Macaca mulatta: one gene and its partner. The protein of the gene in region 1 purifies or fractionates together with the protein of each later gene. This does not show direct contact. Links are inferred from orthologs where the notes say so. Each region holds a gene or a part of one and is shown on either strand. Other genes may lie near its edges.

The links.
Region 2: the proteins of MBD1 (region 1) and CBX5 purify together in Homo sapiens (affinity purification with western blotting; 3 studies listed by BioGRID and IntAct, with this or other methods). This does not show direct contact. The link is inferred for Macaca mulatta from reciprocal best matches to the Homo sapiens genes MBD1 and CBX5.

What each region holds. Positions count from the first base shown.
Region 1 is NC_133423.1:42,025,096-42,040,655, reverse strand, and holds the end of MBD1 (methyl-CpG-binding domain protein 1), read right to left. Parts: intron 15,002-15,560; 5' UTR 14,977-15,001; coding exon 14,867-14,976; intron 11,915-14,866; coding exon 11,800-11,914; intron 11,709-11,799; coding exon 11,542-11,708; intron 11,455-11,541; coding exon 11,372-11,454; intron 11,126-11,371; coding exon 11,085-11,125; intron 10,724-11,084; coding exon 10,577-10,723; intron 10,474-10,576; coding exon 10,345-10,473; intron 9,991-10,344; coding exon 9,874-9,990; intron 9,791-9,873; coding exon 9,722-9,790; intron 9,077-9,721; coding exon 8,909-9,076; intron 8,587-8,908; coding exon 8,287-8,586; intron 8,194-8,286; coding exon 8,056-8,193; intron 7,679-8,055; coding exon 7,547-7,678; intron 7,462-7,546; coding exon 7,400-7,461; intron 6,258-7,399; coding exon of another isoform or gene 6,218-6,257; exon of another isoform or gene 4,541-6,217; coding exon 4,351-4,540; 3' UTR 3,586-4,350; downstream 1-3,585. Other genes in the region: CFAP53 (cilia- and flagella-associated protein 53), read right to left, coding at 1,100-1,456. UniProt on the Homo sapiens protein: Transcriptional repressor that binds CpG islands in promoters where the DNA is methylated at position 5 of cytosine within CpG dinucleotides. Binding is abolished by the presence of 7-mG that is produced by DNA damage by methylmethanesulfonate (MMS).
Region 2 is NC_133416.1:61,462,683-61,479,004, reverse strand, and holds the start of CBX5 (chromobox protein homolog 5), read left to right. Parts: upstream 1-8,545; 5' UTR 8,546-8,671; intron 8,672-16,322. UniProt on the Homo sapiens protein: Component of heterochromatin that recognizes and binds histone H3 tails methylated at 'Lys-9' (H3K9me), leading to epigenetic repression. In contrast, it is excluded from chromatin when 'Tyr-41' of histone H3 is phosphorylated (H3Y41ph).

The DNA of each region.
Region 1 (15,560 bases):
ATGATGGCATAAGTGGAAAATTTCACACCTGACCTCATGTAAGGGGTCACAGTCAAAACGACACATATTTATTCAGCATCCCCAAGGGGAAAATAAAATTACCTTCGAGGTAATGAAATATAGATAAATTCAGTGTTTAGACTTGGGTCTCCTCCCCAAGATATTACATTATGTATATGCAAGTTTTCCAAAATCCAAAAGAAATCTGAAATTCTAGACATCTCTGGTTCCAAGCATTTCAGATAAGGGATACTTAACCTGTATAAGCTCCTTGAAGGGAGGGCTCAGGCTTCAGTAAAGGATTAACCTTCCAGGATCATTGTATTCACCCCTGTATCTCCCACAATACTGCATACACAGCAGGGGCTCAAGCAATAATTCTGCCTACATGGCAGTTTTCTGGCGGGTAGAAACTAGTTTGTAGAAATGAAGGAATCTACATGTATGGACCAATAGTGTCTGAGGTTCTCAGCAGGAACTATCAAATTCTGCAGTAAGCATATTTCCCTGCCCTACTACCACCATTCCAGCCTTAGAGGCAGGCACCTGTGTTTTTCCCAGGTCTGAAGGGACACTTCAGTCCAGCAATGGTTACTGGTTGAGTTCGCACAGGAAAGGCGTTGGGTGCTATAACCACTCACAACCTAATTCCCCTTCCCCAGACGATTTTCCTAGGAGTGAAAGACCAGCTCCAAATCATAGGCCAGCCCTGCCCCCAGATCTGTCTCTGGGCTGGGTGCTCTTTCCATAACACACACTCGCCACTGCATGGGGTACAGACATCCTTCCGGTGTCTTGGAGACTGAAAAACCCTAAGATCCCTAGTGGTGATTCTCCAAAAACAGAACCTAAATACTATAACTTTGGGGGCAGATGAAAGGCTGTAAGGATGAAAATAGAGGGGGATGAGTGGGTGAAAGGTGGGGTAAATAGGTGAGTGACCTTATCTTCCTTCTTTCAAAATTCAACCCACTACATTAGGCGGCACCCGTTCCCCTTGAGAAGGCCCCGGGTGGGGGGCCGAAATGGGATCGGCCAGGCCTGGAGAGTGCAGAGATGGAGAAAGCTGAAGGGTCCGGCAGACACATCCTGTGCTTACCATGATCACCACTTTGGGGGTAGGGCCCTTAACCTCCCGCTGGACGATGCCAAACCGCTGGCTGTACATTTTCGAGTCCCCTTCGGGATGGGGGCGGCGTCCGCCGCGTTTCCCCCAACCGTGGCGACCTGCGGGACCGCTTCCGCGACGCAGAAGTATCGTTGCCATGGTGCGCCTCGCGGGGTTAGGGGCAGGTAGAGGTGGGCGGGTACGACGGAAGTCCGTCTGGTCACCATGGGGGCCGCAGACGCCTGCACTCGCGACTTCCTCTTCCAGCCGAGAAGCTGAGCCTGCGCGGTCCTCACCCCGCCCCTCGGCCAAACCGCACCGACTTTGCTCCCTTCCTCTAGGGTTCATCAGAATGGCAGAAAAATCCTCTAGCCCAAGAAAAATCGAAGCTCTAATTACAATTCCAGTTGACTTTGCTATTTATATCCTGTAATGGTCTAAAGGTACGAGAAAGGTTAGCGAACATTTTTTGGGAAGCTTAAATTTTGCACTATCTCTAGGTTAATCTTGATAACGGTGATAATCACAGGAAAACCTTGTATTTGTGTAGTTCTTTACAATTTCCAAGATATTTTCACACACACAACCTTTGAACCTCACAGACTTTTTTTGAGCCAAGGTCTCGCTCTGTCACCCAGGCTGGAGTGCAGTGGCGTGATCAGGGCTCCCTGCAACCTCGTCCTCCTGGGCCTCGGCCTCCAGAGTAGCTGGGACTACAAAGCCTGCGCCACCACGCCCTGCTAATTTAAAAACAAATTTTGAAGAGATAGGGGGTCCCGCTATGTTGCTCAGGCTGGAACTCCTGCTCCTGGGTTCAAGCGATCCTACCCCCTGCCCCTCCCGTTGGCCTCCCAAAGTGGAATTACAGGCTGCGCTACCGCGCATGGCCACAAATATCTTATACGGTTGATAGAACAGGAAGCATTACTATCCTTATTTTCCAGCTAAGGCAAAGCTCAGGGAGCCTAAGTGCCTTGTCAAACCAAATAACCAGTAATAATAATAATAATAATAATAATAAAGGCTGTTAATAATAAAATCTTCCTGTTTGCCATCGGCAGAAACCAGGGCTTAGACTCAGGATATCCTAGGATGGGGACAGATCAGATGGACTAGTGGGGCAGTGGCACGACCTGGTGGGGCATAATTAAGAGTCTGAGGGTCACAGTGGAAGGATCAGGATGTGGATCAGAAGTCCAGTAACTGGTTTCTGAGAATCAGGATCCAGGCAGAACAGGAAACACAAATCAGGGAACCAGGACGGACCTGCAGCACAGGTAGTAACCACAGTTGCATTTCCAGTCAAGAGTAAGGTGGTGATACCTAAAAGCCAATTAAGAATGACACTCTGGTACTCCAAAAGTGGGGGTGAGCATAGAACACTTGAGCACATGCAACAAATCAGTACCTACGTCAAACTGACGTATAATAAGTACAACTAATGTGTATACCCTCCTTAAGGACACAATTTACTGCAAATTAGCATTCCTTAATCATATGCAAACCACCCACTTCGGCTTTTGTATATGGTACGTTTCTAAATATGAATTCCATTTCCTGAATTGCTGGTTCAGTTTTTCAGCCATGAAATGTCTTTCTTCTCTTTTAATCATCTTTTAATAATTCTGTCATTTTGTGTTCAATTGCAGTTCAGTAAAACACTCATTTGCATTTACTAAGAGTTTACGTGGCCTGGAACAGAAAAAGAAACAAATTAGGTGGTCGTCTCGGTTTCCTGGAGTGTCCAGAGGGGCGGTTCTTTGATCTTCGAGTTCAACGGGCCCCGGGACCGCCCATTGGTCTGGGAGGAACCTCCCCCACCACACCTCCGGGAAGGCGGCAACGAAAACGCGTTGGGCCCGGAGCAGGGCTTGGGAAAATCGGCGGCGATTCGGGGCCGCCCGCTGGGGATTCCCAAGGTTGTGCAGCCCAAAGGGCCTGGTCACAATTTCTGAGGCGATGGGGTAAACCGACCCTTGGCGACACCCGGCTGCACTCGAACGTCCTAGGTCGTCGAGCCCCGCCCTCACCCTGGACGTGCTCCGAAATTTAACCCTGGGTCGGTTTTGCCTGTTTTACCGCTATTTGAAGAGGGGCACTCAGCTTCCCTCTGGCCCTAGCCCAGGTACTGGGGTTTGCGCCGGACGGATGCCACGCCCCAGGGCGGCCAGGCCACTGGTGATGGGTGACGGGCGGTGCCTCCAGGGTCCCAGTGGTTCCCCGACCGGGAACTACGGGCTTTCTCGCCTCGGCGCCCCCTGGCGGGCCCACCAGCAGGTTGACGGTGTCCGGCCAGTGCTGAGCACCGAGAGCCTCAGCCTTCAGTGAACCCCCCCCCCCGCCCCGGCGGCCTAGGGAAGTGAATCTCAGGGTCCTTGGAAAGAAGTGACCTTGATCTTCCCACCCACTATCCCAGTTTCTCAGAGGCAGTCAACACTGTTCCCACCAAACCACTCCCAAAAGAAACACTGAGCATGTAAGTGGGACAATAAAAATTTAAAAATAATTTTAAAATAGAACAGCTTAGAGATAGAAACTAAATTATTTCCAATTCCTACTGTGCCCCAAACAAGGTTCACAAAAGGGCTGTCCTCCCAATAATTTTCTGAATTCTATATATTCAGCATTAAATTCCATGATAAAGTTGGAAATCCATTCACCATTTGTAATACATATTGATGCATTTAATAAAATTGCATGAGCCGTATCTTTTGCATTTCTGTATCCTAGTATTAAGTATAGTGCCTACCACAGGCCTGGTTCTCAATACTTGAATGACACAAAAATAGCCAGGACCAGCAAGTTTTTTCTGGGTGGGCTTCATAGAATCTCTGCACTTGCTGGAATCACCATGAAATTCATGGTCTTCAGCTTTGCATTTTCAGCAACATGGTTATATTGAGTTATCCTCAGGTGAGTAGTGAGACCCTTGGGAGCGGATTCATGGTAGGGCGGCTTTGTAATGTGTCACCTTGGTGAGGCTGTTTCCCAGAACTCTCTTCCAGTAAGATGGGCCACAAGAGACATTTTGCTTGATAACTGGAGGGCAGAAGTGAAGCAGCAGCATATTGTTTTTACACTTGGAAGGCTGGTGCTGGGGCACCAGGCGCTGTTGCAGTTCACACATTGTCATGTATCTGCTGGATCACCTCGTTGGTGTGGGCAGCAGCCAGGCCTGCAGCTGCTCCACCTTCCCCAGGATCATCTCTTCAGCTTCTCTAATTCCTGGGCCAGATGCATATTTAACTCTGTGAGGAAGGGCACCAGCTTCTTCTGCAGGACACCCACATCATCGAAGCTGGAGGTGGTGAGAGACTGACATGGGTTCCAGGCCATCCTCGTGGGTTCCAGCTCGTGCTCGTGGGCTCCACTGTGTCCTCGGTCTCCCACACTTTACATCCATCTTCCCTTCCCGAGTGCCTGCCCTGCAGACTTCAAGCTCCAGCATTAGATGCAAAGATAACAGCCTTACAGAGACTGTTTAACCAGCTCCCACAATGGCATGCAGTCAGATCTCTATAATAAATCCCTTAAAGTACATATATACATAATCTTTATCTTAGTGGTTCTGCTCTTCTGATTGTACCCTAACATACATGGTAGGCAGAAGCTTAACTCATGAGTCTAAATGTCAATCAAATAAATTTCATATAGTTCATTGTCAAAATTACCAGAATACTGGGGTTGGGTGGTTGGTTCCTGGGGGAAACAAAGCAGTATCAGTCTATCCAGTCTTGACTAGGGCTGAACTAGTTAGGGTGGAATAAAGGAAGGGGTGGCGAAGGTGGCAGAGGCTGGACTGTATGATAGAACTGGGAAATGGCTCATCCATGTCTGAATTACTTAAAGCTGCAGGGCTGGGACTAGGGTAAGGCAAGGGAGGCACGTAGGATACAAAGTTTAAGGAGGCACTCACTCAGTCCTGGCCCTGTAAAGCTGGCTAACAAATTACAGGTCTAATCTTTTTGGCACTTTATGAATGAAGAATTGGAAAGAGTGAGGTAGGGCTGAGCCAAGACTGGCCCTTGGGCAGGACTCGAAGCAGGAATTCAGCCTCCTAGAAGACATTTGGGCTGAGGGCAGGAGCCAAGCACAAAGGTCATCAGAGGGCAGGAGATGCACGTTGTCAGGAAAGATGAGCCAGGCTGGCAGCTTTAGTTACAAAGACTGCTCTAGCTGAAGAGGGGGAGTCAGGGTAACAAGCAAAATGGACAGCAGCCAGTGGGGAGATATATCCTGTAGGGTTTGAGGAATCCTATGCAGCACCTGGGGTCTGCAGGAAACCCAGTTTCTGTATGAACAGATGTTCTGACAAGGTGACCCCATCTACATCGAGTCTTGGCACTTTCTAAACCATGCTAGAGACAGGAATGTAAGGGATTTATTATAGTACTTATAGTAATCTGTGTTTTGAAGGTCACCAAAAACTCCTATTAGTGCATACAGGATTACAGGTTACAGTTTAGTGGCTTAAAGAACAAGGGCTTTAAAAGCTGGGTTTCATTCTAGGCTCTACTAACACCAGCTGTTCGACATTGGACAAATTAATGAGTCTGTTTTCCCATTCACAAAAATGGGCAAAATCAATGTCTTCCCAAAAAGATTATTCTAAGGATTAAATAAACTGGGTCCACAGAGGAACACACCAAATAGCAGTTCCTTTCCTTATTTATTCAATTACATTTTCAATTGCTGTCTCCCTGAGGAAGTATGTAGAGACACTGCCAGGTCTCATCCAGAAGCCACTTACAATTATTCATGAACATGGCTTGTTTAGGTTGTTTTGTGGTGGTTTTAATTATATTACCTTTCCCCATCCCAGCTCCCCCACCCTTAAAATCCAACTTCTTATACTCAGGCTCTTGGGGAGGAGAAGATGCACCAACTTTCTACTCTTTCTCTTCCTTTCCCGCTTACTTCTTCTAGAAGCTCAAAGTACTGTTAGGCCTGCTCCTCTGGTTTCGTGGTAGGTTTTTCCTCCTAGGGTTGATTCACACACAAGCCCTGGCAACCAATCTAGGGTCCAGCCCCTAGTAGATCAGTGTTGTCTCTCATAAAGCCAGTCTGCAAATATCACCTTGAATCCTACAGTCTGTAGAAGCCTCCAGTCTACTGCTTTCTAGCTCCAGGTTTTTTAAGGTCTTTGGACCTAGGGAAGAGGGAGCAGGTCTGTATGTTGAATGAGGTTTGCTATATGCGAAATGGAGCATTACAAAACCATTTCCTAGTATTCTGTGTCCTCCATCCACTTCCCCTTAATTATACCTTTATCTTTTTTTATATCTTCTAAAAACTACCATTACAGACAGCTTGTCCATAGTCAGATAATAAGCTCCCTGAAGGTAGGTATCTTGTGTCTCCTGACACAGGATATAAGCTTTGCAGGGCTCATTGTCCTCAATGCTGTGCACCCAGCAGGAACTCAATCAGGACTTCTGTAATTGGCCAAGCATAGATGAAAGGGTTTCCAGCCTGGTGGGCTAGTTTGTAGGAGCAAAGGAATCCACGTGCTTGGCCAATAGTTTACATTGCCAGTGTCTGGGGCTCTATGCAGGGTCTGTCAACATTCTATAGGAGTCAGCGTTCCCCTGCCCTCCCAACCATTCTAGTCCTTACAGGCATCTACCCTTCGTCCTATGCCAGGACTATAGGGACAGTTCTGCATGGCATCTGAAGTTAATAACCTCAATAGGCTCAGGAAAGGCTCAAGAGATCCAGCCCAAGCCCCTCCACAGAGGCAGCTCCAGGAAGTACAGGGCAACCAGAGATCACGCAACTACGTGTGAACCCGGCTCACAAAGCCAGCTCGGAACCCAGATCTCCTGCCCATCCCACTGCCCAGGCAAGCCCAGCACCATTTCTCTGATATACATTGCTCAATGTCAGGCAACAGCCCACCCAGAGGTCTCCTGGAGACTCCAAAGGCCTTCAAGACTCCAAATGATTATTCTCTGAACAAGAATTTATATATTAAAGCTGACCCTTATAGATATTTCTTAGGAAAATAGGGACCAGACTCCCTATCTTTTTCTTTCAAATTTCATGATAGAGTGTCAAGTCTTCCCCCTACCCCCAAAGGAGAGTCCTAACCTGGAATGCTATTGGGCTGGATCTCCGGAGAAATCTCTATGGTCCTACACACATGCCCCTCATTAATTGTGATCAGCATAGTGGGTATGGGCCTTTACCTCCCACCACACCATGCCAAACTGCTGGCTATACTTTCAAAACTCAGGGCCCACATCTGGCCAACACCCCCTCCTTCCCCACCCCTCACTGTGTGGGGCACACCTTGGCAACCAGACCGCTGTATCTCGGAAGCGGGTTCCACCCAGGCTGAAAATCTCCGTGATCTAGAGAAGAATTAACACCATAGGTCAATGTGGTTGTTGGGGCTATGGCAGGGTCAGGGCAGGGTGGGGCATCCCCAGCACTGACCACGGGTGTGCCAGCCCCTCCTGCCTCTTCTTCTGGGGCCAATTTGGAGGCAGAGTCATCCTTGTTCTCCTCCTTGTCCTCCTCAGGGTCAGGTGGCTCTTGCTTCACAGATGGCAGGCCTGGGTCTACTGCCTGGGAGAAGTAGGAAACAGGCAGCCATTAGAAGGGCAGAGTTAGCCCGAGGAAAGTCTCTATCAGCCAACCCCTCACTGTGCTGACAAATCCTACCTTCCATCACATTTCAACACAGAAAGGCCATCTCTGCCTATAAACCTTTCCCATTCCCATTCCTCACTGACCTCCGTTTTTCTGTTAGCTGGACAGCAAAGCGGGCAAAGCTAATTGCCTGCAGGAGGTAGGGTGTCTGTTAGACAGGCGGGGTAATTCTGCAGAAAGGTTGCAATCAGCACATCTATTGCTCTGCTTAAGAGAACCATCATGGCTCATCATCACTCTGCTTACAGACCAGCCTGCTACGGCATCAACAGAACATCCATCACTGCCCCCACCTTGCTAGGGCAGCCAGGCACCAATACGGGAGAAGTCAGGACAGCTGTGCCTGGTGTCCACTCGTCCTGGGTATCCGCCTTCTCTTGCTTCACCTGGGGTAAGGCCACAACCCAACTCAGGCCAGAGCACTGGGCCTCCTGCGTGAGGGAGGATTGCAGCAGACTTGGTCTCAGCTCCCTGGCATGAGGCTGGGTGGGGCTGGGAAGGGAAGGACAGGGTGGGGCCCTCACCTGCAACAGGGCTTCTGTGGAAGCTGCAACAGGGCCTGGCACCTGCACAGGACTGCTTGCGCCCTCCCGTAAAAACACAAGGTCAGTGCCAGGCGGAGGCAGCACAAAGCCACCACCTGCTTCCTGCTTCGTTGGAGCCTGGGTATGGTCTGGTTGGGCTGTGCGTGTAGCCAAGGTGGGCTTCAAGGTAGGCCCAAGATGGTGACGTCGGGCAGAGCTGGGCCTCTTTCGACGATGGTAAGGTGGGGGCGATCCTGCCCCATCCTCAGACTCTGACCAGACACTGGGCAGCAGCCGCTTCTATGAGGAAAGATAGGGTGCTATGGCTACCTGGTGTCCTGACCAGTCACATCCACCCTGCCCGGCTCCACATGCCTGCTAATCTCCCATCGGTCCCAGCATGGAATCTGCTTACGTATGAGCCCTTCGTCATTGAGCCTGCTAGTCTCCTATTAGCAACACCAATGCCACCTAGACTCATTAAGCCAAGCACAATGTCTGTTAATCCTCAACCAAAGCTACTGCGCCACCCACCCACCTACCAAGCCTGCCCACCACTCCCAGGCACTGGGGCGCCTGGCCCAACCTATCCCGGCCACCTGACCCTTCCTGCCCCACCCACCATGGCAAACTGCAGGCATTGGCGCCAACGACACTTCTGGCGCTTCTGGTTGCTGCCCCCGAATTTGGGCTTGTCGCAGCAGAAGTCGCAGCGGCCACAGTCCATCCGCCGTAGGCAGGCTGCACAGGCCCCGCACTTGCGGTTCTGCCGGCGGTTCGTGTAGGGCTGCTGGGGTGGGGGGAATGGGTGGTGCTGTCAACTAGGACTAGGAGAGGCCATCCTCAACGCCTATTCCAGTGCTGGTCCTGGTGCTCCTCTAGCCCCATAAGAAGGAGCTACTTGCATACTAGTCTCAGCCTCCTGACTCCCAGCTAGTCACTCCTCAGCATTTGCTAGTTCAACATTGGCCACTATCGCTGTGCCAGCTGGCCCTCGATACCATTAGGACTGTGGCTGCTCCACTACAATATCCAGTGCTGTATTTCCTAGGCCACCAATGGCTACCAAGAAAATGTCTCTAACCCCCATTTCCAGCAACATTTTGATAACTCTCTATTAGCTCCCATCACTGTGCCTACTCTGTCTGCTCATCCTGTGTGAACCCCAGTCATTGTGCTAGCTGCTCCTCTGTCAATCCCATCACTGTGTCGATTAGTCCTGCATCAGCCACCAGAGTGTTGATACATGTGACATGAGGCACTGTCATTGCACCTGCTGACCCTGTATTAGTCCTCCATTATCTACTCATCCCATCCTAGGACCCATTATTGTGCCTTGCTGTTCCCCAATAGGCTCATTCCAGCATCTGCTTCTTTGAAGTTAACCAAGCGTCCTGAGAGTCTAGGCTTATCCAGGTAGGGTAGGGCCACTCACTAGCTCGTCCTCGTCTACACAGTAATAGATGAATTCGGCAGGTGGCGAGGGGGCCAGGGCTCTGGGGTGCTGTAGAGGCAAATGGGGTGGGGTCAGGGCAGGTACTGGGTAAGGTCAGGGTTGTGCCTTCCCTCCACCCACTGGGGCCTCACCGGCTCTGTGGGCTCTGGGGACTGTGATGGGGAAGGTGGAGGCAGTGGCTGGGCTCCGGGGCGCCTCCTGGCAGCCATCTTGGAGTCACAGCCTCCCTTGCGGCGGGCATGTTTACCCTGGGAAAGACCAGAAAGGGTGGTTTCAGCTTGGTGGCACCAGGCAGACACAGGAACTCCCCACTCCCTAAGTGCAGAAAGCATGCATGGGACAGGCAGACAGAGGGTGGCATGAGGCACTCACAGTTGGGGGAGCCACAGCCAGGGGAGTGCGTCGCTGACATCTCTGATGACGGCGACGCAGGCGGTGAGCAAGGTGCTGGCAGACAGGGGCAGGCAGGCGGGGCCAGAAAGGTGAGCGTGGGGTTAGGCAGAAAAGAAAGACATAAGGTAGGCAAGGCCAGGTTGAAAGGAAGCAGAGGCAGCGACGATTTTAACAGCAGAGTGAGCTCTGCTCCCTCCAGCCCGACTCACCCGTAGGCAACGTCGCTGGACACATTTCCACTGGCGCCTGAGACCAGGGCGGGGAGGGCGAAGGCAGATGGGACAACGGCCACAGTCCTCTTGGGTCTGACAGCCCCGGCATACTCCACACCCTCGGCTCTGTTGGAGGGGATGTGGGAGCAGAGGCATGAAGCATGGGGCCAAGCCCACGAGGGCCAGGGGCCGAGGTGAGCCTTGGGCTCTTTCCACTTGCCCGACTCACCCTTTCCACAATCCGGAGGCAGCGTCTCCGTTCACACTTGCAGAACAGCCCCGATGCCACATCATGGGGCAGCTGCAGGAGGCACGTGGAGCAGGCCCCACAGTCTTCTGTTACCTGGCAGGCTGCACACTCCCCACAGCCCACACGCTGCCAGGAATGGTAGGGACGAGATCACGGGCCTGCTCCAGAAGCACTGGTCCTCCCATGTCTACTGACCCTACATCAGCTCCCATCACCGGGACTTCTAGTCGCCCGTAAGCCTCATCACTGAGGCCATTAGTATGTCTACTGGTCCCTTGCTAACTTCATCACTGTGTCTACTGATGCACTAATGGTAACGGGAATTAATTAACCCATTGATTCCCATTACTGTGTTTGCTGACCTATGGAGAGCACCCTATAAAATGACTTCATCCTGTGGACCTATCATCATCCCTTAGGACTCTACCAGCTCAATCACATCCTGCTCCCACTGCAGAGGTGTGAAGAGAAAGCAGGTTGTGCTTACCTTAAACATTCTCTGTTCTCGGTTGAAGGCAATTCTCTGTGCTGTGGGGAGGAAGAGGGAAGAAGAAAAGTGGAAAGAAAGCAACAGACATCTGACTGATTCACTCACTGCCTGTGCCCTGACTTCCACTATTCAACCTCTACCCATGCCTGCTATCTCCAGTATCCAACCTCCAACCATGCCAGTAGCCTCTGTCCTGACATCTACATTCAACCCCCAGCCTAGCATGACACTGAACCTGCTCTAGCTCCTATCTCCCGATGCCCCATCCTCTGGGGGTCACTCACCTCGACAGTCTTTGCACAATGTTTTGAGCCGCTGCCTTTGGGTGCCATCCCCTGAGAAGCTGATTCCACAGTTCTCACAGCATCTGGGATGGGAAAGGCAGGTGAGGGGCTCCAAGAGCACCCCCAATCACAACCCTCACCCATCTGGCTCACCTCAAACCAACACTCACCCAGGAGCAGGGAATGAAGCTGGGGCTGTGTCAGTGTCAGCCTTGGTCTCGTCCCTTGGGGCCTCCTTCCTGACCTCACCACTCTGGGGTCCAACCTGACGTTTCCGAGTCTTGGCTGGCTTTGAAGGCTTCTTTCGCTTCTTGCTGGCAACAGCCACAGGATGGGCCTGGAAAGTAAGGAAAGGAGGCATATGGGTCAGTGGGTGGGTGCTGAGTGGCACAGCCACCCCTACCTAGGCATCTCACATTGTAAAGTACCTTGGGGGCTGGATAGCACAAGATGCCTTGTTTGAAGTCGAAGAGGGTGAGATCACACGCAGGGCCCAGGTATCGAGTCAGCTCAACTTTGCTTCGGATCCTGTCTCCTGTGGGGCTAGGGATGGGCCATGATGGGTTAGCACCCAAGTGGAGCCAATGTCATTTCACCCACACAACCTTCCGACAGGGCTGGCAGGATACAGGAGGCAGCCTGGAATTGGCCTGTGAGCCCTGCCCAGCCCCACCTCAACTAACCTTGAAAACATAAAAAATTAATATAAATACCAACACAAATACAAACATCAGAAACAATACAAATGTAAACAGACAAATATATTTATAACATATAATACTAGTAATACTGGAACTATTTCACATAAGTAAAAATAGACACAAATAGAAACACAAATATATTAAATAACATATAAATATGTTAGCACTGGCCAGGTGCGATGGCTCACACTTGTAATCCCAGCACCTTGGGAGGCCAAGGCGGGCGGATCACGAGGTCAGGAGATCAAGACCATCCTGGCTAACATGGTGAAACCCCATCTCTACTAAAAATACAAAAAAAAATTAGCCACGCATGGCGGCGAGTGCCTGTAGTCCCAGCTACTCGGGAGGCTGAGGCAGGAGAATGGCTTGAACCCGGGAGGCGGAGTTTGCAGTAAGCCGAGATTGCACCACTGTACTCCAGCCTGGGCGACAGAGCGAGACTCTATCTCAAAATATAAATAAATAAATAAATAAGTTAGCATTATGTACCCAGTATATAATCAAGCAAAGAAAACAACACAAATATGTTTTAAAAACACACAAACAAATACAACTACACACAAATTAAAGTATAAGTAATTGATTTTGGGACCCCTGGTTTCTTGCATTTCTGTACGCCCTGCAAGAGAGACACCGATTATTCTTTTTGATAAACTATCTTTCCAAGGATGTTTGTAAAGCAAACAACCTTGGAAGATAAGAGATAGGGTCTCCTTCCATAGTAAAAGGAAAGCATACTTAGTGTCCTAACGTTATTAAAAAAACTTGATTCTCTAAGCTCAGGGTTCTTTTCCTATAATAATACAACCCTCTTCATGTCATGCTGTAGGAATTGGGATTCAGGAAACTGGCACAAAAATAGTAATACAGTAATTCCCCCTCTCGTCAGGGTATACATCCCAAGTTCCCCAGTGGATGCCTGAAACCGTGGATAGTACCAAACCCTAATGTAATATGTACTGTGTTTTTTTCTACCTGATAACTGAGATGGTTACTAAGCGACTAACAGGCAGGTTGTGTATAGAACATGGATATGGATATGGATATGGATATGGACAAAGAGATGATTCACCTCCTGAGCAGGACTGAGCAGGATGGTGTGAGATTTCATCACGCCACTCAAAACGGCACACAATTCAAAACTAATGAATTGTTTATTTCTAAAATTTTCCATTTAATATTTTTGGATGGTGGTTGACTGTAGGTAACTAAAGCTGTGGAAAATGAAATTGCAGATAAGGGGGAGACTTATTCTGGATCCTGCAACTGTTATAATAAACTGTCTTTGACCTGTAACCCAGGAGTCTTACCTCTCCTACCAACATCTACAAAATTCTGACAAATTCACTATTATCTTGTCCTAAGAATGAAATCTCAGATCCTTCGTAGTTCCTGACAACTGCACTTTTAAGTTTTGAAAGTTTTATACGAGTACATAAATATGTGAATAAATTATAACTAAATACAAACAAAAAGTAATTTGTAATTTGATATTTACCTGGAAAACTGCAACTTAGATTTAAAAAATCAGAACGAATATAGAAACATAATAATTAATGTAGCCTAAACACATGTAAATGCTTATAAACATCTATGCTGATTCTCATTAGTTATGGTAGGTATGTTCTACAAAGTTGCCATGAACACTGAATACAAAACCATTGCTCCTAGAGGAAATACAGGGTTAGGTTCCTGAGAGCATCTGAACTTCTGTTTTGTGCGTGTTTCTGTTTAAATACACATTACTTAATATATATTTTTTACAAATGATTATTTGCATGGTCTTTGAATGACTCAAACCAGGGGCTTTGGAGGCCATATGTGTTCTGTAGGTTTGTTTGCTAATATTTTTGTTTAACAAGCCAATCCCATTGGCATTGAAAACCACTCTTCTACACAACCCCTTTCCTATAAAACACTTAAAAGGTATTTTTAAAATTCTTCGGAAGACTCCTGATCGGGAGAACCTGCATTGCATGCAAGTTTAACATTTTTCATGCCATGTTGCCTTTTGAAATGTGCAAGTCAGCCAGCACTAGCTGATACAACCTTAATATTTTCCTAACCCAGGGTAACGTGACTTTGGCTTTCCTCAACAATGCTGTCCACTATGCTTTATTGATCGTCATTTCATGAATCCACCAACGTAGCTGCTTTCTCATCTCTTCCATAGCTTCAAGACTATAAATGCTTTCTGTATTTTCTGAAGCAGCCTTGTGCACATATTGGCAAATTTCCTTCTTTTTCTGGTTGTACCATAATTCTGATGCATAACATTGAACTTACAGCCAACAGCATTGTAACTCAGATAACCAACAAGGTTTATCTGCCTTGTATTTTCTCCGTAAGGCACGACATGGCCTTCTCACACTCAGAACACTAAACAGCACCTCAGCACTACGCTTGAGGACTATTTTAAAAAGCAAAATCACCAACAAAACATACAAAAATTAGAAAAATGTGACACTAAACAGACCACGAAAAGGACACTTGTTTACAGTATTAAAGCTGAAATAAAAAGGGCTCCTTCAGTCTCAGCTAGAAACACATGCATTGAGTGACAGTTTTTCACTGCTCTGTGCATGTCCTTCAATAATCACAAATGCACTGTGAGTAGTGACTTTTAAGTTACAAATACTGTATTAAGTAGGTGAAATTGCAAACACAAAATCCGCTAATAACGATTAACTGTGCATAATTTAAACTCCATCCATAAATTTAACCGCACTATTTGATTTTACCCTAATGAGGCTCTACCCCACCCCCACTCTGCCCACAACCCACCCAGTACCTCTGGTAATAGGTGTCTGAGCGTCCACAGGTGGCCCCTGACTTGCGAAAGACTTCACGGCGCTTCCAGCCAGGGCCCAGGGCCGGGCAGTCCAGCCAGTCCTCAGCCATGGAGGCCACAGAAAGCAGCAGTAGCCTGAAAGGGGGTTGAGGGGATGAGGGAAACTGAGGCTCTAGGAAGGGACAAAATGTGCCCCAGGCCACACAAATCACTGGTATCCATTAGTGCTTGCCCAAGACCTAGGACCTGCCGCAGGCAACCAGCCCATATATGGAGAAGAAACCCCTCATATTCTCACCCCATTCTTTCCTATTCTGGGCCTAGGAGATCCTCATTCCTCAACCCAAGGATCCCTGTTTATTATTCTTAGTGTCCTAATCCCCTACTCCTCTCTATCCTCAGACTGACAGCCCATCATTTCTCCTCACTGCCAATCCAGAAACTTTTCATCTTCCCCCCTCATTCCTCCCTGTCACTGACCTAAGGGCCTCTATCCCTCTATTTTATCACCACAAGACCCCCATACTTCCCATCCTCAGCCCCAAAGGGCCCCATTTCTCTTGCCCTCACTACTTGGCTTCAGTAGTCTCTCATTCCCCCCTTCCCCGACCCAGGAGTTCCTAATTTCCTTCCTTCAGTGTTTTAACCATTCCATTCCGTCTCTGCCTGATGTCCTCTTATCTTGCTACCTCAG
Region 2 (16,322 bases), on another chromosome or scaffold:
AGATGGGTTTTCACTATGTTAGCCAGGCTGGTCTCAAACTCCTGACATCGTGATCCACCCGCCTCGGCCTCCCGAAGTGTTGGGATTACAGGCATGAGCCACTGCACCCAGCCATTTTGTCTCCCCATTTCAAGTTGCAAAGGGCAGGGGCTTGGGCTAGCTGTTCAGAAATTTAATTAGTTCACCTAAGAGGTGTCAGGTACAGACAATCCCCGTGCTCTCATGAAAATCACTAGTAAGACCATCTCACACACACACACACACACACACACACACACACACACACACGTTTGGTGTGCTGACCTAAACAAGGTGGAACATAAGTTTGAAAATAGAGCAGCCTGGGTTACATGGTCCAGTGGTTGCAGGAACTTGGGACAGGATTTTACCTTCAGCCTATTTCCTGATTTAGAAAATATGGAATTTACTTTTCACAATCCCATATAATGAAGTATGTAGCAAAGTACATGGAATGAAACAATGTTTCTCTTCAATAGGCATGCTTTTAGGAAACTACTATCCTCCAGTTGCCCTTTCCCTTCAAGGAAATCTGATTGTCCACAATAAAACCTCTAGTAAATGCCAAGTCACAAACTGAGACCCTGACATTACTTCCAAGTACCACAAGGCTGATGGAACTTAGTCCCACATACAGCTATTTCAAAACAGCATGGGTGTTAAGAGGCAAAAATTTCCCAATAATTCTACCTCCACTTTTGTTAGGTTCAAAACAGGCTGGATAAACTTTCCTTGAAAATATCAGAAAAATTTAAGTGGCCAGGCACAATGGCTCACAGTTCTAATCTCAGCACTTTAGGAGGCTGAGGTGGGCAGATCCCCTAAGGCCAGGAGTTCAAGACCAGCCTGGGCAACATGGTGAAACGCTGTCTCTATTAAAAATACAATTAGCTGGGCACCTCTAGTCCCACCTACATGGGAAGTTGAGTCAGAATTGCTTTAACCCAGGAGGCAGAAGTTGCAGTGAGCAAAGATTGTCACTGCACTCCAATCTGGGTGACAGAGGGACACTTCATCTCAAACACACACACAGAAAAACCTAAGCATTTGCTAGAGGGTACAATTATTACTTCCAAGATAGCCCTTCCATTTTTAGGCTATCTTTGAGAGGCTAAGTCTTGCCTCCCATTCAGTTTACTTTCTTACTCCTAGCTTGCTAATTCTACTTTAGTATGAGACAGCTGGCCAATAAACCCAACCTGTTTGCCAAAGATGAAATCCATTATGTCCTTCTGCAACAGATGGTGAGCATAAGTCCCAATAGAGACCTACTGAGCTCAATGGCAGTGCTACAACTTGATTTTCCCTTGCCAGGGGAGCTAGAAAAAGGACATGCTCAATTGGATCAACAGTAAAGTTTACTTATTATAATGAGCCAAAAATTACTCCAGCAGTGAAAACTTATTTCTATTTTCATTAAACCATAAAGCTGAATGGGATGAATCTAAATATAGCAATTCACATTGTAATCAACCATATCCTCTCTAACCTGAATTTCAATGTTATTAACCATAGATATCACAAAGGAGGACAAAACAAGCAGAAATAAGTCAAATACAGTTTATTTAAAAAAAAACAAAAAACCCCATTTACAAAATGGAATTTGAGCTGCAAAACAGCTCATGTCAACTGCATGGCAGTGATAACGAAGCACAGTGGCTCAGATAAAGGTCTTCACAAGGATGTTCCTGCAAAAGGCAAAAGAGGTTATAAAGTATTTATATAAACAGAGGTGAATGACTACACAATTATATCCATTGTCACTACTGGGAATACCTGGTTGTACCAGTAACTTTTTGCAATTGGATGAGATTACAAAATGTTTGGTTTGAGGTACAGCTTGTCCTTCTCCCTTTTTACTTTGGGAACGCAGGGCATTCTTTTGCTGACCACTAACTTGTAAAAAACTTACCTTTCTGCCACGAACTTGGACAGGTGAGTTTCTGTTTTTAAGAGCTGATAAGACTAGTAGCAGACTCCTCCCTAGAAAAGTAAACAGCCTTTAGAAGTAGCTCTCTTCTAAGACCAAGTCCCATCTCAAGCTAAACCCCCCATACCTCCCATTGATAGCCCACCCATCCCCCCACCATATGGGGAAGAGTCTATTACTTTGAGCCATTATTTTAAGGAAATGGGTCAAAGGAAGATAAATAAAAGGGCAAAAATTTATATTCACAGTACAAATAATGTGCTCACTTCCTTCAACTGGGAGCCACCAATAGGGTGTCAATTTAAAACAATTCATCTCCAGAAAAACCAAGTTCAGCTTAACTGGACTAGTTTTGGCTCAATATATTAAGAAAAATGTTTAACAGAAAACTGGACTTTAAGCCACTATATGGATGTAAGTAAAATCTGTTCTTACCTACCCGCATAGCAATAAAACCTTTCCTCCTGGTTCTGACTGCTAGTCCTAAGAGTCAGGTGTGCCTTACTCTTGTCTGCCTCCTTCCTTGCGATGATCACTGAAATTTCACTCCCTCCTAGCTTTCATGGAGCGTGCCGTGGCCTGCCCCTGGCTTATCTGTACTCCACATACCACAAGTGTCTACTCTCAGCTGTAGAGTGTCTGAGCTCGGAGCCATTCGCGCTATACTTGCTAGCAGTTCCTAGTAGCTGAACATCTCTCCTGGATCTTTAAAGGCATTGTCACGAATCCTGAGGTATCTGCAAACTCCCTCAATAGTTAAGGTTCCACCTGCTATTGCAAACTCAGCCAGTATCATGGACTATCACCCATGCTTTCCCACCCACCACCATGTCCCACCCACCTCCCACCACCCTCCTCCCCAAACTTCCAACACACCCATGGGATGGAATATACAGTACTATTGATAAACAAATCTCTATGCTACTAGGTACAATAGCACTGAAATTGAGAGCACCAAAGGTAAGGCTCAAAAGAATCTATGTACAAACAACACATTATTGGATATTAACTGTTAAAGGTTTAGAAATCATTTTCTATACAATTAACATTTTAGGTAGGTTGTGTGACCTTGTGCCATAAAGGGAAACTGCAGTTAACATGAAATTACATAGAAAAATTTAGTTTCTATTGGTATGGTTTTCATCTCCAAATTAGTATAGTTAACTGATAAAACCTCTGAAGGCCCACCCAACCAGAACCCAGTCAAACTGCAGTTTTCCTTTAATGTAAGCCTATCTTTATGTTCATTAAATACTTTCTGATATTGCTTATTTTTAAAAGGCCTCCCAAACACTTCAAATCTGTGGATTTATGGAGCGGCATTAGCCAGCAGCTAGTTTCTATTCCCTGGCAGAGCTTTGAACTTGAATTGTGATAGAAGCATTCAACATCATCAAGGGGAGTGGGTAGGGAAAGTCCAAATCTCTGCCAGTCCCAAATCCATACAGTTGTCATTTCATTCAAGAGAATTAAATCGTTTATTGATTACACATGATAATGGATGATACACAAGCTTCATTCCCATCTATAATTTTATCTGGTACCATTATTCAATTTAGATATATTGCATAGGATGTGCCAACAATCACTTTTATAACCAATAATTCCATGATTTTGCTTGGGTAATCCCTTTTAACGGTGAACTTCAGGTCACAACAGTAACTATCAGTTCAACTACACCAAGGTTTCCGAAGACAATGGCTTCTCCACCCAAGCAGGTTGTATATAAATTCCAAATAGAACCTGGCATCACCCTGAAGGAATTCTAACTTCACACTGTTGGGGAAGTTTACCAAGATGGCTTCAGAGTAGACTAACTTTACACAGCACATTAAAAAAAAGACATTTATTCAGCGTCACGATCAGACTATTACATTTAGCAATCAACAGCATGGGTGCAAAAAAAAAAAAAATCTACATTAAAACCCTTTGTTGGAATGCTTTACACTTTCCACAGAACAGAAACTAAAATAACCTGTTATACAATTAGTCACAAATACAGTCCTCGAGTTTTTTGCCCATACACATGAGTATTTGTCTAAAACATGTCTTCTTTGTAGCAGCTAGGCCCTGCCACCACTGTGCTTGGCTGAGTTCACAAATCTGTTGTAACCTGTAGCTTCCCTGTCACTTCTCTGGCTCTCCTCTCCTGCTAAGCTTTGTTTCCTGTTGAACAATATGGAATAAAGTTGTTAATCTAAACATATTAAGACTCAAGGCTACAATCCAATATCAAGTTTGCTTCCCACAAATTTTGCTGATCTGAATATTAACTTTATATCCACAATTACTGCAATTATAATGTTAACTATGTTGCACTGCTCAGCTACATTAGGGTTATTGGGTTCATCAGCAATTTAAAAAATTATGTCCACACACAAAAAGGTGCTTACTTACCTAATTAAAATCTTCTGCCACTGCCATAGCTACTGCTGCTGCTGGAACCGCCATAGCCACCTGAAGAGTACAATTTTTCTTTTAAAGTTTCAAAGTGCCAACAGTAACACAATGTTTTCATAGTTGAGATAATAAAAGTTAAATTCAAGTGTCTGGCCATTTAAAAATGGCCCCTACTCCAAAGGAAGTGGTAAAGCAGTCCCATGACTTTTTAAATTTGTGATCAAATTATCACTTTCTGAAGGTTCTAAACTGTAAACGTTTTGCTGCCTAGACATAGCAGTTAAAGGGCTTTCTTCCCAGCAGTAGCTACAGATACAACTCTTTTGACATGATCCCAAATTACACAGATACCATACCTTGGTTTCGTGGTTTTGCAAAGTATTGACCTCCACCGCCATAGGGGCCAGAGCTTCTGCCTCCAAAATTTCCTCCCTTCATGGGTCCAAAATTTGAAGACTGATTGTTGTAATTGCCAAAATCATTGTAGCTTCCACCACCTCCAAAATTGCTTCCTATGAATGGGAAAGAGGGCCTTCGTCTGTTACCTGAGGATGATGCTAGTTTCCAATTCTGTTTAGTGGTCAGAATAAAATAAGGTTGAGTTATCTGCCTTCCTTTCTCCCAAACTATGGTGACTCCAATCTTTGCATTTCATTCTCTGGGAAAGGCATTCAGTTGAATAATCCAGTAATAAAAAGAAAACTGGCCTAACTCACCATGACATAAAATAAAGAGATTTTCATAGTGGCTCAAGCATATTCTCCAGCCTTGAAGGCCTTCATGGATCCAGGGCCACAGCAAGCAGAAGTATCTTGGATACATCAACTAAGCGCCTAAGGTCCCAAAGGAGTTAAGATACTAAATCCTTCTATGATACTAATCTAACTCAAAGACAATACTATCCACTTATCTCTACTAATTGGGAGTGAGGCGGCCCCAGCTTAAAGCTAGGAGGAGGTAGCATAGCAAGCCCATTTGTTTTTAATATACCATGCAATGTACCATACAATGCTTTAACAGCACCAGAACCCAAGCTCTAAAAGGCTAATCTAGCTGTCACACCAAGTACTTGGATCACTGGATACCTACCACTACCACCGCCAAAGCCGCCTCCGCCTCCGTTGTTATAGCTGTCATAGCTGCCACTCCCGCCATAGCCACTGCCCTGGTTTCCATAACCCTGTCCACCACTTCCATAGCCTCTGCTTCCTCCAGAGTAACCAGGGCCGCCTCCTCCATAACCACCTACAAGAATACAATTCTTCTCAATAAGACAAAAGTATTTGACAATGAAAACGTGTGCAAGTGTAATGGCTGAAGGCCTGCTCACAGCATGCGTGTTATGGGCAAGGTTGAGTTTGTCATGCACCAGAATTTTAGTCTCTTATCAACCTATTCTAAAGATCCAGGTTGCCAGGATTTTTTCTCTACTTAGTCCTAAAAAACTTACCATCATTACCAAATCCATTATAGCCATCCCCACTGCCACCATATCCACCACCACCACGGCTGCCACCAAAGCCACCTGGAAGAAAAAGTTTCAAGTTTTAAGTATGACTTGCACTGAAAATGACATTCTAAATGCACTTCCCACACTGTAAAATCTACATAGCAAAGACGGTGTGACGTCAGAACTACACGTACATAAACCATACATACCACGACCACTGAAGTTTCCTCCACGACCGAAGTTGTCATTCCCACCGAAACCACCTCCACGACCACCACCAAAGTTTCCAGAACCACTTCGACCTTAAGAAATGAAGTTTACTTCATTCATACTGAAGTAACTCAAAGTTACCTTTAAGGTTTAATTAAGCAACAAGCATACCTCTTTGGCTGGATGAAGCACTAGCCATCTCTTGCTTTGACAGGGCTTTCCTAACTTCACAGTTGTGGCCATTCACAGTATGGTATTTCTGAACTAAAAAAAATATAAATACATGGTCTCAGGGTTTAGAATGCCACATGGATTGTGGAACCCTTACTAAATGACACTATCGGATACTTACTGACAATCTTATCCACGGAGTCATGGTCGTCAAAGGTTACAAAGGCAAAGCCCCTTTTCTTGCCACTGCCTCGGTCAGTCATGATTTCAATCACTTCAATTTTCCCATACTGTTCAAAATAATCTCTTAGGTGATGTTCTTCGGTGTCTTCTTTAATGCCACCAACAAATATCTTTTTCACAGTTAAGTGGGCACCTGGTCTTTGAGAATCCTAATAGGAGGAAAACCACAGGTTTAGATTAGCAAACCCTATATTCAAATCAAAAATTGTTCTGGTAAGTTTAGAAAACTCCTGAATCTTAAGTCCATAGCAGCACATCTCTAAATGAGTTGAAGGGGGAAAAAAAAACAAAAAAAAACCCAACACAAAACAACTCACTTCTCTTGAGACAGCTCTCTTTGGTTCCACAACTCTTCCGTCCACCTTGTGTGGCCTTGCATTCATAGCTGCATCCACCTCCTCCACAGTGGCATATGTGACAAACCCAAAGCCCCTGGAACGCTTGGTGTTTGGATCTCTCATTACCTGAGAACAGTGTTAATTTATGTAACAAAGTCTGACCGCAGAAGCTTTTGTCATTTTAACTTTGAATAGGGCAATAGGAAACTTTATACCAGCCTTTTATGAAAAGCGGTCCAGTTTCCCACTACCCTAGATTTAACAAGTAGCTTTTAAAATCAAAGCAGAATATTCCTTTGTCGACAAAGCTCTAACCATAATGCTACTAACAACTTTCATAAGCATTCAGAGAGGACTGCACCAAGATATGCCAAGGAAATCTCGGCTATTTTACTGCTTTGTCCCAATTCTTACCACACAGTCCGTGAGCGTTCCCCATTGCTCAAAATGGCTCCTCAGGCTCTCATCGGTTGTTTCAAAGCTCAACCCTCCAATGAAGAGCTTCCTCAGCTGTTCGGGCTCTTTAGGAGACTGGAGTGGGGGAAGGGGGAAGTGTTAAATGGACTACAACACGAAACAATTTCCATCAAGGAAAAGAAAAACTAGACACCAACTGTGTACCTAGCACTTATTGTTTGTTCAGGTCGCAACAGGCCACGTGCTTCTCCCCACCAAGGGAGGCAGTATGCTGGGGGTTGGGAGTGCTGGGAAATCGCAAGCGCATGCGTCTCTAGTCGTCTTCCGACGCACGCGCAACAAAGGCTTGGGCGGGAGGGGTGCATCTCCATAATGGGACTAACCGCTCTTCAGAAATCTCGCTCACCAAGGCAAGGTTTAAAAAAAGACAAAGATCCTGTGTGCCTAAGAATTTTGCTACGAGTAGCGAGTCCCGCGTGATAACTCGTGGTTGGCGGAGAGCGGCCTCATGGCGATCAAGAGGACAAAATGGCGACTTGAACTTTGGGAGGGGTAGGCCTTGGCAGCGACCGAAGTTAACTGTAGAATCGGCTGGTGCAAGGAACGAAACCAAGCCGCATCTTACCGATTCAGAAAAGGGAGACGAAAAACATTCAAGTTGGAAAGCTCGCCTAACTCACCTCTGACTTAGACATGACGGCAGGGAGAAGAGAGACTTTAACGATGCTTCTTCGGCGGCGTCCACGGGCAGAAAGGAGCAAGCTGACGAACGTATCTGCCAGCCTACCTTCGGCCTCTCTTTTTTACCCCGCCTCCTCGCTTTCGGCATTGGTAGACTCCGCCCTAGAACAGCTCTGATTGGACATTTGAAATCGCTTCCCCTTGCTATTGGCCTGTGGTGCCACATTGCTGTGTAACGTCATTCCTTTGGGCGTTCTACGCGTCTCCACCCCTTGGAGTCAATTGGTTCTCGAGTAATATTACTGTTAACCAGTCTGATTGGCCAACCGACCAATCATTCATGTTTGAATCTACCTGGGGTGTTTAACGCCTTTTTCATCTTCCACGCGTAAATATTACAGTCAAGTCGCTTGGCAAAGCATGATTAACACTATGTATTAGACAAGCAGCCAGGAGGTCACAGTTTTTTTGCAAAGAACGCTTGTTGACCGCACGTGTAGCAAAATGGCGAATTTTGCGCAGGCGCATTAAGAAGTTCCACCTGCCTCTGGGAACACGTGAAATGGCGGGCAGGACTAGGCAGTGAACCTACGGCGCCTGCGTGTTGGCGGGAGTTGGTTCTAGCTTTGCGCATGCGCAGTGGGCGGAGAAAAAAGGTCCGGTCCCAGGATTGGTTGCGCAGGCGCAGGGAAGGATCCGTTTTGGCGGGCGGTTGGCGTTGCGCAGAAGGCGGCGGCGGTGGTGGCTAGTGGTGCGGCCTCACCAAACAGGAACAGGGCAGACGTTAGCGTGAGTGATCACTCTCAATCCCGGGTAAGTGGCAGACAGTCTTATCTACCCATAGTAGGTCTTGAACTGACTCCATTTGGGCCCGTTATTGTGTGAAATGAATGGACCGCGGGGTGGGGGATAGTCAAGGGGCAGCGGTGGATCGGGTCAACCAATAGAAGAACAGGGGGCGGGATGTTTTAATCCCTGTAGGTTCTTGGGAGCTGTGCAGCCGAAGACTTTGACTGGCTTGTGTATAGGCCAATTGGGTGTGCCTTGAGCTGCCGACTGATCGGCCCTTGGGCCATCGGAATGTGGGAGATGGGTTTTCCCCTTCTGAGCAGCGTCTCACTGAGCCAGTGAGCAGGAAGCGCGCGGTAGGTTGGGCTTCTCCAGGAGGCAGCGGTTTGACTCCAATGGGGAATGCGGGATCGGGCGGTTAAACGGATGGAACGAATCTGGAGCCAGTAGACGGACAGCCTAAGGAAAGCACTGGGACCAGTCGTCCAATCGGCTCTCCAAAAGAGAGAGGTCTTCGATTTGGGGTTGTGAGGAAGGGGAGTCGGTGCCTGTAATGGCGTGTGAGGATGAATGTTTTATCCACAATGACTTTTCTAATGTTCTAACGGAGCCTTTAGGCCTCAGTCCCATACACCTCCCTGAAGCCTAAGTTTCCTCGTGTATTCCTCGACTTGACCATGTTTCCCCCGCCTCCTCACCACTTGAGGTTTGGGGAACAGAGGAGGTTTTTGTTTGTTTTTTTATAATACTTTCAGAAGTCGCTTCTTTAGGAAGACTGTTAAAATGTTAGAACGAATAGGAGAAATCTCTATATCCTGATAGTGCATATTTCCACGAACAATATGTTTGTAGGTCCATAGAAAAGTTTTCCAAAGCTACACACCAAAGTGTGTCAGTCCTAGGGACACAGTAGGATCGAGGCAGGCTGGTTCTTTAATGTTTAAAACTTTGCAAGATTAATGATTTGTGATTAAAATTAAATAAAAAATGAAGTCAATTGTTTTGTGTTTCTAATCATAATCACATACTTACCACCCTTTTTCTGATTTATATAATCCATGTGCCCAGTGCTTTTATTTTAGTCTCTTTCTCCCGGGAACTTTCCCTCTCATACATTTCCTTTCTTTACACCATTAAAGATATCCTAAAACCCCTCATTTTGATGTTCATTTGAGGATATCTGACTTTGGATTAAAAAAGAAACGCTTAAAGAGGGTAATATTTAGGGTTCTGGGGACAGAAGACTCATCCATCACCTGGATTATTCCTTGCCTTTTAATTAGATTTCCTTCGAAGTGTGTTTTACATGCAGTCTATCTCCTTTTGGTAATGCCCCCTCTGCTTATTCCAGGATCTTTTGGAGAAATAAATAAATTTTGATAACATTGGCTGTATCAGAGTCTTACTGCTTTGTTCAATAATTCAGGATCAAGGGAAAATACTTAAATACTGAAAATCAACTACCTATGAAGTACACTTATGACTAGAGACCTTTCCGACTTTATACCAAAGACAAACGATTTTAATAGCAGTTTATGAACAGAGGAAAAATTTCCATGTTCTCTGGCACTAGCAAAAGGATAAAGTATTTATATATAGTTTATCCCTGGTTTTAAACCTATTTGTAGGTATGCTAGTAATGGGGTTGCTGAGCTTCTGAGAACTAAAGTGATACTGGTTAAGGGTATCTGTCCTGGATTTATTTAGGTTTGAAAGGAATACAGTCTTAACCTGCAGCAAGATTTCTCAGCATTAGCACTGTTGATATTTTGAGGCAGATAATAATTCTTTGTTAAGGGTATTCGGGGTGTCCTGTGCATAGTAAAATATTTAGCAAAATCCCTGGCTTCTACCCACTGTATGCCAGTAACATCGCACCTCTCGCCACATCCCCATTTGTGACAATCAGATTGTTAACAGACATTGCCAAATGTCCGGAGAGGTAGGGATCGGGGATAAAATCTCCCTCGGTTGAAAATCATTCTCCCAAAATTCTGGAGTATGCAGGGCACAGTTTCGTGTTCCTGTAGTCCCAGCTACTATGGAAGCTGAGGCAGGAGGCTTGAGCTCAGGTGGTCAAGGCTGCAGTGTGAAATGATTATGCCTGTGAATAGCCACTGCACTCGTCTGGGCAGCACAACAAGATCCCATTGCTAAAAAATAAAAATAAAATGCTAGAGTTTATTATTTTTTCAAAATCCATTATTTTACCAATTGGAAAATAGGTAAAAGTGAGAGAAGATGGTTGAAGTGTTTAGGGAGTGGCCTTTGGTAAATGGATCGCTAAATCCTGATGTTTATCTCCTTAGATACAGAATTGATCATTGTTCCATTTGATAAAAGGAAATTTTTATTAAAATTTTTACCACTTGATCTGGTGCCAGTGGCTTACGTCTGTAATCCCAGCACTTTGGGAGGCTGAGGTGGGCGGGTCACTTGAGGCCAGGAGTTTGAGACCAGCCTGGCCAACATGGTGAAACCCGTCTCTACTAAAAACACAAAAATTGGGCCGGGCGCAGTGGCTCATGTCTGTAATCCCAGCCCTTTGGGCGGCCGAGGTGGGTGGATCACTTGAGGTCAGGAGTTCAAGACCAGCCTGGCCAACATCGTGAAACCCGGTCTCTACTGAAAATACAAAAAAATTAAGTGGGCGTGGTGGCAGGTACCTCTAATTCCAGCTACTCGGGAGGCAGAGAGAATTGCTTGAACCCGGGAAGCGGAGGTTGCAGTGAGCAGAAATTGCACCACTGCACTCCAGCCTGGGTGACAGAGCGAGACTCCGTCTCAAAACAAAAAACAAAAACCCCTGCAAAAATTAGCCAGGCATATTGGTGGGCACCTGTAATCCCAGCTACTCAGGAACCTGAGATGGGAGAATCGCTTCAACCTGGAGGCAGAGGTTGTAGTGAGCCAAGATCGTGCCACTGCACCCCAGCCTGGGTGACAGAGTGAGACCTTGTCTCAGGAAAAAAGAAATATTTACCACTTTTTGCAACTTAAACTTACACATATGATTGATTGCATCTTGTCCTTGTTTGGCTTCCTAAAATAACGGCAAATATGTTTTTGAAGAAGGTAGACTTTGCCTCACATCCGTCTTTTTCACTTGATTCTAGCTAGCCTCTTTACTGGGATTCTTTACTGGGATTCTTTTGGATCCACGTTTCAAAACTTTTTTGACTTCAGTAAGAAATGTATTTTACAGTAATCCTGTACACACATTGAAACAGATTTCACTAAACAAACGTGCAGAGCACTCCGATACTCTTTTGTCTGCAGTATACTATTTCATTGTCTTAAGAAAGCAGTCAATTTCCACCGAACTGATTTCGCAGCTGTTTATAGACCCAGAGTTTTGGGGGAGAAAAGACTGCTGATCTGAACAATAGGTCACCAAATCATGCCACCTTTGATTACTTTCGGAGTCAGTTCCTTCCATCTCCAGCCCCAGCCCCTTGTACAGATGGTCCCTTAGTTGTGATATTTCGACTTAAGATTTTTTCACTTTTACAATGGTGTGGAAAACAATTTCCTTTCAGTAGAAACCATACTTCAAGTATCCACATAACCATTCTGTTTTTCACTTTCGCTACAGTAATCAACCAATTACATGAGATATTCAACACTTTATTATAAAATAGGCTTTGTGTTAGGTGATTTTGTCCAACAGTAGGCTAATGTAAGTATTCCGAACACATTTAAGAGTAGGCTAGGCTAAGCTATGATGTTCGGTAGGAACACCTTAGGTGTAGGAAATGAATTTTCAATTTTTCGTATTTTCAACCTGTAAGTCAAGGAGTATCTAAACAGATTAAGCAGTGACCTGTTACTTGGTGTTTTTACTCATGTGTTTTACTTTGAAAGATTATAGGAGCCGCCGGGCGCGGTGGCTCAAGCCTGTAATCCCAGCACTTTGGGAGGCCGAGACGGGCGGATCACGAGGTCAGGAGATCGAGACCATCCTGGCTAACACAGTGAAACCCCGTCTCTACTAAAAATACAAAAACTTAGCTGGGCGAGGTGGCAGGCGCCTGTAGTCCCAGCTACTCGGGAGGCTGAGGCAGGAGAATGGCGTGAACCCGGGAGGCGGAGCTTGCAGTGAGCTGAGATCAGGCCAATGCACTCCAGCCTGGGTGACAGAGCGAGACTCCGTCTCAAAAAAAAAAAAAGAAAGATTATAGGAGCCAAGCCGAGACTTTCTAGTTTACTGTGGTGTGCAAGTGAAAATTGCTTGTTTTATTGTGAAGTCTCACAGTGCTTAAAGAGGGAAAACAATAAAAATATTGCAAAATCTCTCACAATGTGATAGGGTTTTTTGTTTGTTTGTTTGTTTGTTTTGAGACGCTCTTGTTGCCCAGTCTGGGGTGCAATGGCGCGATCTTGCCTCACCTCAACCTCTGCCTCCCGGGTTCAAGCGATTCTTCTGCCCCATCCTCCTGAGTAGCTGGGATTACAGACGTGTGCCACCACGCCCTACTAATTTTTAGTAGAGACAGGATTTCTCCATGTTGGTCAGGCTGGCCTCGAACTCCTGAACTTAGGTGATCCGCTTGCCTTGGCTTCCCAAAGTGCTGAGATTACAAGCGTGAGCCACTGTGCCCAGCCTCTAATGTGATAATTAATAGATATGATGAATTTTTCACTCTGGTGGTGAAATTTTAGTGGGTAATTTTTCATTGAAATTCTGGGAATCTCACAGAGTTAGAAATCCTAACTTCCAGTGTGATATGTGTTGGGCCCTCAATTACAAAAGTTACAGCATTTGTGCTTAGAACTTAGAGACATACCGGCCGGGTGCAGTGGTTCATGCCTGTAATCCCAGCACTTTGGGAGGCCGAGGCAGGCGGATCATGAGTTCAGGATTGAGACTATCCTGGCTAACATGGTGAAACCCTGTCTCTACTAAAAATACAAAAAATTAGCCAGACGTGGTGGCGGGCGCCTATAGTCCCAGCTACTCTGGAGGCTGAGGCAGGAGAATTGCTGAACCTGTGAGGCGGAGGTTGCAGCGAGCCGAGACTCGGCACCACAGCACTCCAGCCTGGATGACAGAGCGAGACTGTCTCAAAAAAAAAAGAACAACTTAGAGATATACCTAACCATTGCAACCAAATCTAAAAGGAGTGTTTACTATAAAGGGGAATATATTTTTTCACTGTTCTGTCTGAAAACTAGTAAGTGGAAAGCTTCAATTTGGGTAGTAGGTAAGCAGGGTGATAGTTGGGGAAAGAAGGAGTGAGCCTACATTTGAAGCGGCTGGATTTGTATATGGCTGGGGAAATTCTGGAGATTCTCAGAGCCTTTTAACAATACTCTAGAAAAGAGAAAGGTTTGGTATCAGGGTACAAAGATTTTTGAGGAAGACCAAGTATTTTTTTGCTTCTGTTGAGGTTTGTTTGTTTTTGAGACAGTCTCACTCTGTTGCCCAGGCTGGAGTGCAGTGGCGTGATCTTGGCTGACTGCAACCTCTGTCTCCCAGGTTCAAGCGATCCTCCTGCCTCAGCCTCCCGAGTAGCTGGGATTACAGGCATGTGCCACCATGCCTGGCTAATTTTTTTGTATTTTTAGTAGAGACAGGTTTTCACCGTGTTAGCCAGGATGGTCTCGATCTACTGACCTCGTGATCCAACTGCCTCGGCCTCCTAAAGTGTTGGGATTACAGGCGCTAGCCGCTGTTCCCAGCTCTATTGAGGTCTTTAACTGCATAGCATGATTTCTGTATCTTATTGATATAGCCCATTTAATTAATAACTGTCGTGGTAAAGCATTTCTAGTCTTTATTTTGTCCTTTTACTTAGATTGTTTTTATTTCCATTCACCTTACATGAAACTGGGCCTAAAGCTATGTTATGGATATTGATTTTAAAAGTAATAAATTACAACATGAGATACCACTTGACTCAGTATGGCTGTTTACATATCTGCTATTCATGAACTTGGACTCTGGGCAATCATCTTTTTCTCCTGACATAAACTTTTATTTTTCTTCCTTGCTTATAGAGAATGATTTTAACTGATCATTGTACTAATAGGAAGGAGTCCAGGTCATCCTGAGAAGAGTTCGCTTGTCCAGAGTCCAAGATGCAGATTTGTTGGATTTCTGTAAGCCACTCGAAGCCACATATTCATTTCTGATGACAGCTTTACACTTGTGCTGGAAGAACACCCACTGTGACAACTGCTGCCTATGTTTAGTCTGTCCAGGAGCTCTACCAGCTAGCATGTTTGCAGAAAAACCTACACTGTTCCTGTTAGCAGCTATGTAAATATTAGATCTTTCTGAGTTTCTCTTCTCAGATCTGCCAATTTCTTTGGGGCAAATTGTATCCTGCAGTTGCCTCAATCTACCCTTTGAAAATGAGGGATTAAAGGTTTTAGACATTCTTTGGGTTATCTGAAACACAATTCTTTTTGGATCAGTAATGTTTTATATATGTCTACTTTATGATTTTTAAAATTTTATTCCCCCTGTGTATTAGTTTCCTGTGGCTGCTGTAACAAATTACCACAGACTTGGTGGTTTAAAACAAAAGGAGTTTATTCTTCTCACAATTTTGGAGCCCAGAAGTCTACAATCAAGATATTGAGGCCCTTTTGGAGGCTGTAGGAGAGACTGTGTTCTTTGCCTCTTTTAGCTTCTGATTATGGTCAGCATTCCTTGGCATGTCTCTCTGTTCTGTTTTCACATTGTCTTCTCTCTTGAGTACTTCCATCAGAACTCTCCCTCTACCTCTGTATTATAAGGATACGTATGATTGCAAATAAGAAACCACTTGGATGAACCAGGATAAATTTCTCCTCTCCTATCTTTTAATTCAACCTGAGAGAGCAGATTTAAAATACATTTTATTCCTAAACTGGCAGGTCCCTGAAAAAAAAATGTAGATTCATGTTTATTTTATTTTGAGACAGAGTCTCGCTTTGTCGCCCAGTCTGGAGTGCATTGGTGTGATCCCGGCTTACTGCAACCTCCGCCTCCCAGGTTCAAGCTATTCTCCTGCCTCAGCCTCCTGAGTAGCTGGGATTACAGGTGCCCAGCCAATTTGTGTATTTTTTTTTTTTTTTTTTTGAGACGGAGTCTCGCTTTGTCACCCAGGCTGGAGTGCAGTGGCCGGATCTCAGCTCACTGCAAGCTCCACCTCCCAGGTTTTTCACCATTCTCCTGCCTCAGCCTCCTGAGCAGCTGGGACTACAGGCGCCCGCCACCTCGCCTGGCTAGTTTTTTGTATTTCTTAGTAGAGACGGGGTTTCACCGTGTTAGCCAGGATGGTCTTGATCTCCTGACCTCGTGATCCGCCCGTCTCGGCCTCCCAAAGTGCTGGGATTACAGGCTTGAGCCACTGCGCCCGGCAATCAATTTGTGTATTTTTAATAGAGATGGGATTTCACCATTGTGGCCAGGTTGGTCTCAAACCCCTGACCTCAGGTGATCTGCCTGCCTCAGCCTCCCAAAGTGCTGGGATTACAGGCATGAGTCACCACGCCTGGCCAGATTCATCTTTTAATCACATCTTTTGCTATATAAAGTAACATTTACAGGTTCAAGGGGTTAAGATATGAATCTCTGTTGGGAGAGGGCCATCATTCAGACTACTACACATTGGTTCCCTAACCTCTACCCAAATAGATTTGACCTAATTCAGAAAAGAAAAGGTTATTTTTAAAGAAAGAGAGG